2 linked regions of the Canis lupus familiaris genome follow. The protein of the gene in region 2 purifies or fractionates together with the protein of the main gene of each other region. This does not show direct contact. Links are inferred from orthologs where the notes say so. Each region holds a gene or a part of one and is shown on either strand. Other genes may lie near its edges.

Evidence for each region. The genes of interacting proteins can lie anywhere in the genome.
Region 1: the proteins of CD9 (region 2) and ITGA6 purify together in Homo sapiens (co-immunoprecipitation; 3 studies listed by BioGRID and IntAct, with this or other methods). This does not show direct contact. The link is inferred for Canis lupus familiaris from reciprocal best matches to the Homo sapiens genes CD9 and ITGA6.

The regions. Positions count from the first base shown.
Region 1 is NC_049257.1:17,166,659-17,170,306, reverse strand, and holds part of ITGA6 (integrin alpha-6), read right to left. Parts: intron 3,271-3,648; exon of another isoform or gene 3,240-3,270; coding exon 3,078-3,239; 3' UTR 1-3,077. UniProt on the Homo sapiens protein: Integrin alpha-6/beta-1 (ITGA6:ITGB1) is a receptor for laminin on platelets. Integrin alpha-6/beta-1 (ITGA6:ITGB1) is present in oocytes and is involved in sperm-egg fusion.
Region 2 is NC_049248.1:7,316,719-7,321,004, reverse strand, and holds the start of CD9 (CD9 antigen), read right to left. Parts: upstream 2,890-4,286; 5' UTR 2,791-2,889; coding exon 2,725-2,790; intron 1,410-2,724; exon of another isoform or gene 1,303-1,409; intron 1-1,302. UniProt on the Homo sapiens protein: Integral membrane protein associated with integrins, which regulates different processes, such as sperm-egg fusion, platelet activation and aggregation, and cell adhesion.

The DNA of each region.
Region 1 (3,648 bases), on a different chromosome or scaffold from region 2:
TCTCGGCCATCAGGTTGTACTTCCGTGGAACCCAGCCACCTGGAGCAGTTCACTCTTCTTCCTTTAAAACAAAATCCCAGTCCATCTTCCCACGTTGTCTTTTCATGAGTTAGTGTACCAGATATCAGTTCTTATTAAGTGGTGTTCATTTAGGGTAGAACACTTGATCTTACCCTTACATCTGTTCCATATTCCAGAACAGCCTCAACCCCAAGGGGATGACCCATTGTGAGACTGTGGCAAGTGACCCGTAACCAGCAACAAAATGTTAATGTTTGTCAGTGGATCCAAGGGTATTCCTGTTTATCTACTACTGTCACTCCTAGGATTTTTTAAAGAGAAAGGAGTAGAATCCTATAAAACAGTGCCATGATATCCAGCGCAGGTCATTTATGCTCTAGCCAAACCACAGCTGCTGACACTTATAATGACGATTCCACACCAATCATTAATCTGGGTAGGTCCATGGGACTGTGAATAAAGGTTCATAGCCACTGGTCTGTCATTTAAAAGTACCCCTCAGATTTCTTTGGGTGGTAAAACCTGTCTTGTCTTCAAAGAACGAAGACGACTAAAATTCACTATGTGATACCAAGTACAGTAGAAAACTATTATTTGACAGATAATGCATTTTTTGCCTTGGAAATTTATTCAAGGCCATGGCATGCTATATTATCTGAGCACTACATAGATGCCTTATTTTCATTTATTAGATTGTGATAATCCAACTCGAGAAGGTTCATAAAATTGCTTTCATGAAGAAAATATTTTCAGGCCAGTCAGCTCTGCCAAAGCAATCCTTGGTGATGAGTAATGGCACAGCCGAACTGCTCTCACATCCAAAACATCTAAGAAGAAAGCAACTTTGCCATAAGAACTCTTACTCTTCACACCATGGTATCATTATTTGTAGGTATCTTGAATAAAACCATCTTGTAAGATTTTTCTTTTTTTATGATCTCAACTGAACAGTAGAGCCCAAAGGAAGAAAGAAAACCTTCAATCACATAAAAAATATAAAAAACTTGAGTTTGGTTGGCTCCATGAAATAAGAAAGCAATTCAGGTTATTTATAATTTGAGAGCTTGTGTTACTAAGCAATAAACACTTTCATAAAAAAATTTATTTCACACTTTTATACAAATATCCACAGGTATTTTCTAATCATGAAATAATTTTACAGTGCTAGTTAGTATTAAAATGTATCAAATGCAAACAGACCAGTGACTTGACTTGAGATGACGCTTTTAAAAATAAACACCACTACATTCTTTGTTGTTGAACCACCCTTCCTTCCCTTTTAGGATATTCTTTTTTCTTTTTTTTTTTTTTTATAACAAAGGTCCATAGACACTTTCAAAATATCAGCTGCTTGGCAACCTATAAAGCCAGTGCATTTGGTTACAAGTTACCTAAGCAAGGATTTGCTTCAAAGGATTTGCTTCAAAGATTTCAAAGGCTAGTATGACCTGTTTTGGAGAAATTTTTGTAAACAAAGTATCAATTGTAAAAATATCTTTGTGAATGAAAATTCCAAAGTTCAAGGAGAATAATGTCCTTACTATCTTAAGGGCATATGATTTCTGAAAAGAAAAAAGCTCCAAAGCAACAGTGACACACAAATACAGTTGTATTTTGTTCTTCTGAAAGATTTGAGATGCTGCTTATACTAGATCCAAATTAGCACCTGTTTGCTATTATTTCCCATATAACTTAACATTTTTTAAAATTCAGATTACCTACCCAATCTCTGTTGAATGTATAGAAATGTTTTCCTCCTCTGCTACTTCATTTTTATAATTAAAACCATACAGTTAGCACAGTCCCAAAGTAATTTTGGGGAATATAGATAAGGAAGGAAACAAAGCAAAAAAAACCCAACATTGACTCACTGATTAAATGATTCCAATAACATTTAAAAACATAAAAGCCATGATGTCCTGACTTTGGTATCAGATACTCAGTAGTCTCACACTGGATCGGTTTGGATCCACCATAGGCACCAACCCTTTCTTTCAAGTCCTGATGATACAGTATTTGCAGCAGGGCCTACGCTGCACCAAAGTTCAACAAACCCATTGTTTCCAAGCATTCTTGAAAGTTACAGCACAAAAATGCAGGAGGTCACACAGGGCTCTACCCTCAGAAATATCCGGTCTGATATAATTAAACATCTTATGGTTAAATCCTATTTCTTAATAGACTTTCACTTAAACCCAAAGTTTGGGTCTGGAGGAAAGGGATGACGGCTATCATGAAGGGAGATATAATAACTTATAAAGGATTAGCTTTATTTTTTTTTTTTTGCACTAAATTCAAACCAATGACCTCCCATGTTCTAATTCTGATTGTTTAATCCAACTGGGAGGGTAAACGGGAGACTCTTTGGCCTGTCAGTGACAAAATGGTTTGTAAAAAAGAAAAAATAAATACGATATACAAGTAAGTATAACTAGCATTCAAGTCTTTTGCACCTATGTGTTTCAGTGAACAGAGAAGTGAAACCTGTATGTTATCTGGTGTGATGAGTACTCACACATCTAGGAAATGGGGAAAGATGGCAGGATGGCAACGTCACCTATTGCACATTTAACTTAAGATAGCACTTCGAACTGAAATACAACTACGGCGACGGCAGTGTCCGGTGATGCGGGACAGTTAGCTTGCAGGCTCTCCAGTCCTACGGGAAGGATGGGTGCGGAGACCGTGCCCTGGGTGGGGGGTGGGGGGACCACTCGGGCAGCGACTGGGTGCCTCCTTCACTTCAGCTACGCTGGGCAGGCCCTTCCCGCACAGGGAGGTCAGCTACACCGAGAACAAAGGCAACCCCAGAAAGTCAAATTAAGGCAGGTAAAGAAAACTCCATTCCAACAGTCTTAAATTTGGTTGTGCAAACCCGGAGCCTCGGGCTACAGGACAAGATCCACAGTGAAAGCTAAGTTCGTACTGTGCGTCATCTTGTCTGAAATGAACATTCAGGTACAGAGCAGGCTCTTGGGTCCACTGAGACTTCTGAGCTGGCGAGGGAAAAGCAGTTGGGTACTGTGAAGCTTTTTTTTTTTTTTTTTTGGCCCCTTTTAAGAGTAGCTTTCATTTTCATTCCAACTTGTGATCCACTGTTTTTTTTCAAGGTTATCATTGTATTTTTCATCTTTGATCTCCCGCTCTTCCTTCCGGATCCTCACAGCATGGTATCGGGGAACGCTATCATCGTACCTAGAGCGTTTAAAGAATCCGCACTGACGGAGGGGAGAGAGAAGTAGAAACAAAGTAAGTATTGCAAGAGAAGCAAGTGCACAAACTGGCAATGTCTAAGCTTTCTGTTCAGCTACACCTACCTTTGCATGTAGGGGAAAAAAAAAAAAAAAGGTTTCTTTTAAGAAGGAACTAGTAGGTTGAAAAGACCTAACAGCCAGTGGGGATAAACAGAAGACAGCTGTAAAACTAGAAGAAAAGTCTGTTTTTCCATCTTCTCTTTATATTTAGTAACCGTGTAGTCTGTTTTTCCATCTTGTCTTTATATTTAATAATCGTGTAGTAAGTCACCTCTGTACCAACAATTTCAGAGTTCTGGAACAGTGCTTTCGTTTTTTATAATCAACATGATATGTTAAAGACCTAATGATCAGATTATTTAGAACATCATTT
Region 2 (4,286 bases):
ACAGAAACAACGGAGAGCCAGGAAGTTAGAGTTGTGGGGATGTTGGATGAATAGACTGGTTGCTGGTCTGGCTGTGAGCATCAGAGGCCCTACTTGGGGAGGCCAGAGAGGGTAGGTTTAGCTGTCACCCAGGGTCCCATAGGGCTGAGGCCAGGGCTGGGGCAGAGGTATACCATCTTTCCATCCTGATCATCCCACTACCACTGAGGTAGGCTTCTTCTCTCTGGGTCCTGCTAGGCCACCCATCTCAGCATCCTTTGTTCATGAGCCACTGGCCTCACAACTCCTGTTTTTCAAGGCCCACATCAGATCCCAAATGCCAAGTGTATAAATTCCTGGTCTTGGGAGAAAAAGGTAACTGGTGCCATCATAACAATCCAACCAGGTTCCCTTTAAAGATATTTTTGAGAGCTTGTTTCTACCCAGCTGACCATGGCAGCAGGCTAGGAGGGGAAGTACACTGGACTTTAAGCTAGTAAGACCTCCCTTCAAACTTCTGATGCTATCCTGCCACATGTCCCTGGATAAGTCACTTTACCTCTCTGGCGACTAGTTTCCTGGTCATCAGTACCATGGGGATAATGCTTCTAGCTCTGGCTTGTATCATGGGACTTGGAAAAGGCCTTTGCAGACTGTAAAACGCTGCACAAGTGGATCCTTATCTCCTTTATTCTATCATTTCTACAAGGACCTTGACACAGGACTACTGAACAATCGTTACTTCAGAAAAACGTAGCTTCCTTCCCCAACACCAGCCCATTACCAGGTCCCCTTGTTGATTTCATGATGTAGACCGAAGAGGGCGGGACTCAAGTGTGGTTCGGTCTCTGTGATTCTGGGCCCCTCTTTGGTTCTCCGTTTCCTCACTGTGGATACGAGGGGCGGACTGGATGATCACTAAAGTCATTCCTAATTCTGGACCCAAACATTTCCAGATTCAGTCATGTCCGTTTTAGATGACATAGCTGACCAGCAGCGCCTAGCCCAGGCAGGGGTAGCTTTGAGTATGGGTGGGGTGGTAGGCTGGAGACAATAAAAGACTGAGCAGACACCAGAGGAGCCCTGGAACTTCCCAACAGACTGTTGCCTGTGCCACAGGGCAGATGGGGGTGGAGGGTTGGGTATGAGGGCCTATGGGAGTCTGTGGTTCCTTCCCTGCCTGAAAGCCTGATGCAGCCTAGGCAGATAGATGAGGACGATGCAACAGACTGGTGGGTGAGATTGTGCTGGGGAGGAGAGAGGAAGAAGACTCCCCAAAGGACAGGAGTGGGGTGGGGCTTATCCGCCTTCTCACATTCTTTTCTGGTGCCAGAGGTTGGTGAGGGGAGGAAGCCAAGCCTGGGAGTGAGCTGGCTGGCTGGCTGCTTGTGGGAACACCAGGAGGAAAGAATGCCCACCGCTGAGGCAAGGTAGGGGTGGGTGGGTTCCTTAAAACAGGCCAAGTGTTGGGCAGGGGCACGTCTATGTGCCATCCTCACTAGAACATGTGTTGTGTATGGTGACTCTTGCAAGGGCAGGTCAGTCTCTTACTGGCAGCTCCTGAGAGAGAATTAAAATCTCAAGAGGTTTGCTCCGAGGTTCCTGGGGACCCCAGTGACCAGCGCCAGGGGAGCAAGGTACCGTATAGTTTTTGTTACAAGGCTCTGGTGGCATGCCCGTTTCTAGAGCCATCTCCCTGGTGGCATAGGGGCTGGGCTGCCATTCCAAACTCCCTGACTGCAGAGGAACAAACACTGTCCATCTGTGTGCAGGGGATGTGGCCCTCAGACTCAGGACACACAGGTCCCCTGTTCCTTGCTTCTTTCTGTCTCAGGGTGGTCTCTTAATCCCCCCAAGAGAAGGCGCCGAGGGGGCATCCCCTTTGGCACTGCCTCCATCAGACTTTGCATTTGCAGAGAGGGGTGAGCACGGCCAGCAGTGGGAGTCGGGCAGCTCCCGGCCTGGCCTGGCGTCCTCTCCTCCTCTCCGGGGGAACCGCCACTCTCCCAGGCCGCGCCTAGCCACTGGGTGGGCTGGCCTGGGGGTGTCCGCGAGGCGGGAGGGCCCGGGCTGCCAGGGGGCCGAGGGCACCTGATCTTCCCCCGGAAATGGAGAAACACAGGACTGAAAGCGCCAACGGGCAGCTGCCTCGCCTCTCCCCAACTCTGAGCTCTCTCCGCTTCAGATACTTATCGCCTTTGGGGGAAAAAAAAAAAAAATCCAGACAAGCTAGTCTTTCAGGTAGTTTCGAGGGAGTTCCGACTTTCCCACGGCGGCTCAGAACCCGGCCTGCAAGCACCTCCTCGACCGTCGAGGGGGTCCCCGACTCTCACTCAGGTCGGGGTCCCAGGCCTCGGTCCTGCAGACGTGCCATCAGCTCTGGGCTGAACCCTCCCCGCCAGCGCCCGCATCGCCCCCTCGCGGGACCCCACCAGGTCTCGAGCCGTCCTGCCCCCCCGCCCCCCGAGGGGCTCCGCTTCTCCCGCCGCCTTCCCCCGCCTGCACTCGGAGGGGCTGGGAGGCGAGGGGCAGCCGCGGGCCGCAGCGCAGAGCCTCAGCGAGACGGGGTCCGCGCCCCCCCCCGCCCCGCGCCCCCGCCCGCCCCGCCCCGCCCGGCCCGGCCCCGGGGAGGGCGCAGCTGCGGCCGCGGCGCCCCGTGTCCCCCGCTCGGCGTCCCCCGGCGCGGCCAGGTCCCCGACGGACAGGTGGCGCCGAGGAGCGCGCCGGCCGCTCGCCCTCACTCACCCAGAAGACGAAGTTAAAGCCGAAGAGCAGGTATTTGATGCACTTGGTGCCTCCTTTGACCGGCATGGCGCGGGCGGGCTGGCTGGGCCGGGCTGGCGTGGGACCGGGACGCGCGGCCGGGACGAGCGGCACCACACTCGGGGCCGAGGCGGCGGCGGCGGCGGCTGCGGGCGGGCCTCGGGGCTGCACTTTTAAAAAGTGCCCTCCTCGCTGCGCGCGCCCGCCGCGGTGCGCATGTGCCGCGGACCCCGCCCCCGGCCGGCCCGGCCCGGCCCCACCTGCCCCGCCCCGGCCCCCAGGCCGCTCCCGCCCGGCTTCCGGGGCTCCCGACTCCCGCCCGGCCCCCCCCCCCCCCCCCCGCCCCCCCCCCCCCCCCCCCCCCCCCCCCCCCCCCCCGCCGGCCCGACCCCTCCTCCCAGCCGCCCCGGGATCGCTCCGGGCTCCCCTCCCCCCGCCTTCACCTAAGAGCTCTGGGGCGCCTCGCCCTTCGGTGCGGGCCTTGCGGATTCTGGGCTTCCCGCCCGAGCCCCCCACGTTGGGAGCCCTCCCTCGGGGTCACTGGGGTCCAGTCCCCCCACTCAAGGCAGGCTGGCCGCGGGATGGGGACCCCGTGCTCCGAGCTGCCCGTGAAGGGACGCCGCCTGGCCTTGTCCCTCCCTGAGGCGGCTCCTTGCAAACTTGCTTGGCGGAGCCCACCCTTGCTCGCACGTCGTGCGGGGGAGCAGGAATCAGAAGCTGGCAGTCCAGGTGGGAAGAGGGGTTGGAGGCTTGTAGGAGTAATTTTTCAAATGTGATTACCCAACAGTAACAGGGCTGGGAGTGTCGGGTGGTCCTGGAGAGCTCCGGGGCCTTGGGGTGTGCGTGCCCGGAGGGGAGAGAGCGTTTGTAGCCGGGCTCCGGCTCCTGCTCTTGCCTCTACTCCACAGCACCCTCCCTCTTGCCCCTTGGCCTCCGATGCTGAGCTCTACACCTCTGGATGCTGAGTTCTGAGCTCGGCTCTCCTCAGCTCAACAACTTTCTGTAACTCCCCAGTGTTCAATGACCCAAGGCGAAACTGCCCATCTTGCATTCTGTCCTTTGTCTTGTGTCCGTGCCCAGCACCGCTCTACCTGGACCACGCCGCCCTCCTCAGCTCCCCGACTCTGACTCTGCGTGGCCTAGCCCTCGCTGTGGCATGTGGTGTGTGCCCTCTGGCTGCCTGGCCCTACCCTCTTCAGTTGTAGAAACTATGAGGCTCCTCAAACATTCCTTTCCTGTTTCTCACCAAAGGATGAAACGATTCCCTCTTCTTTTGAAGTCCCCAAGCCCCTTTGTATCTTTTTTTTTTCAAAATGAAGTTTCCTTTACAAAAGCAAGAAACATCAGAAAATACCAAGAAGCAAAAAAAGAACATAACTCAAATTTCACCCACCAGAAATGGAGGGTGTCGCACTTTGTGGCTCTTATATTAATGCTTATGACCACTCTCGGTTGTCTCATTGATTCATTCAAAAACATTGTTCAGCATCTGTTCATAAGGGGCATCATTAGGGGCAGGAGCTGGGTGTCCACTGGTGGAGGGA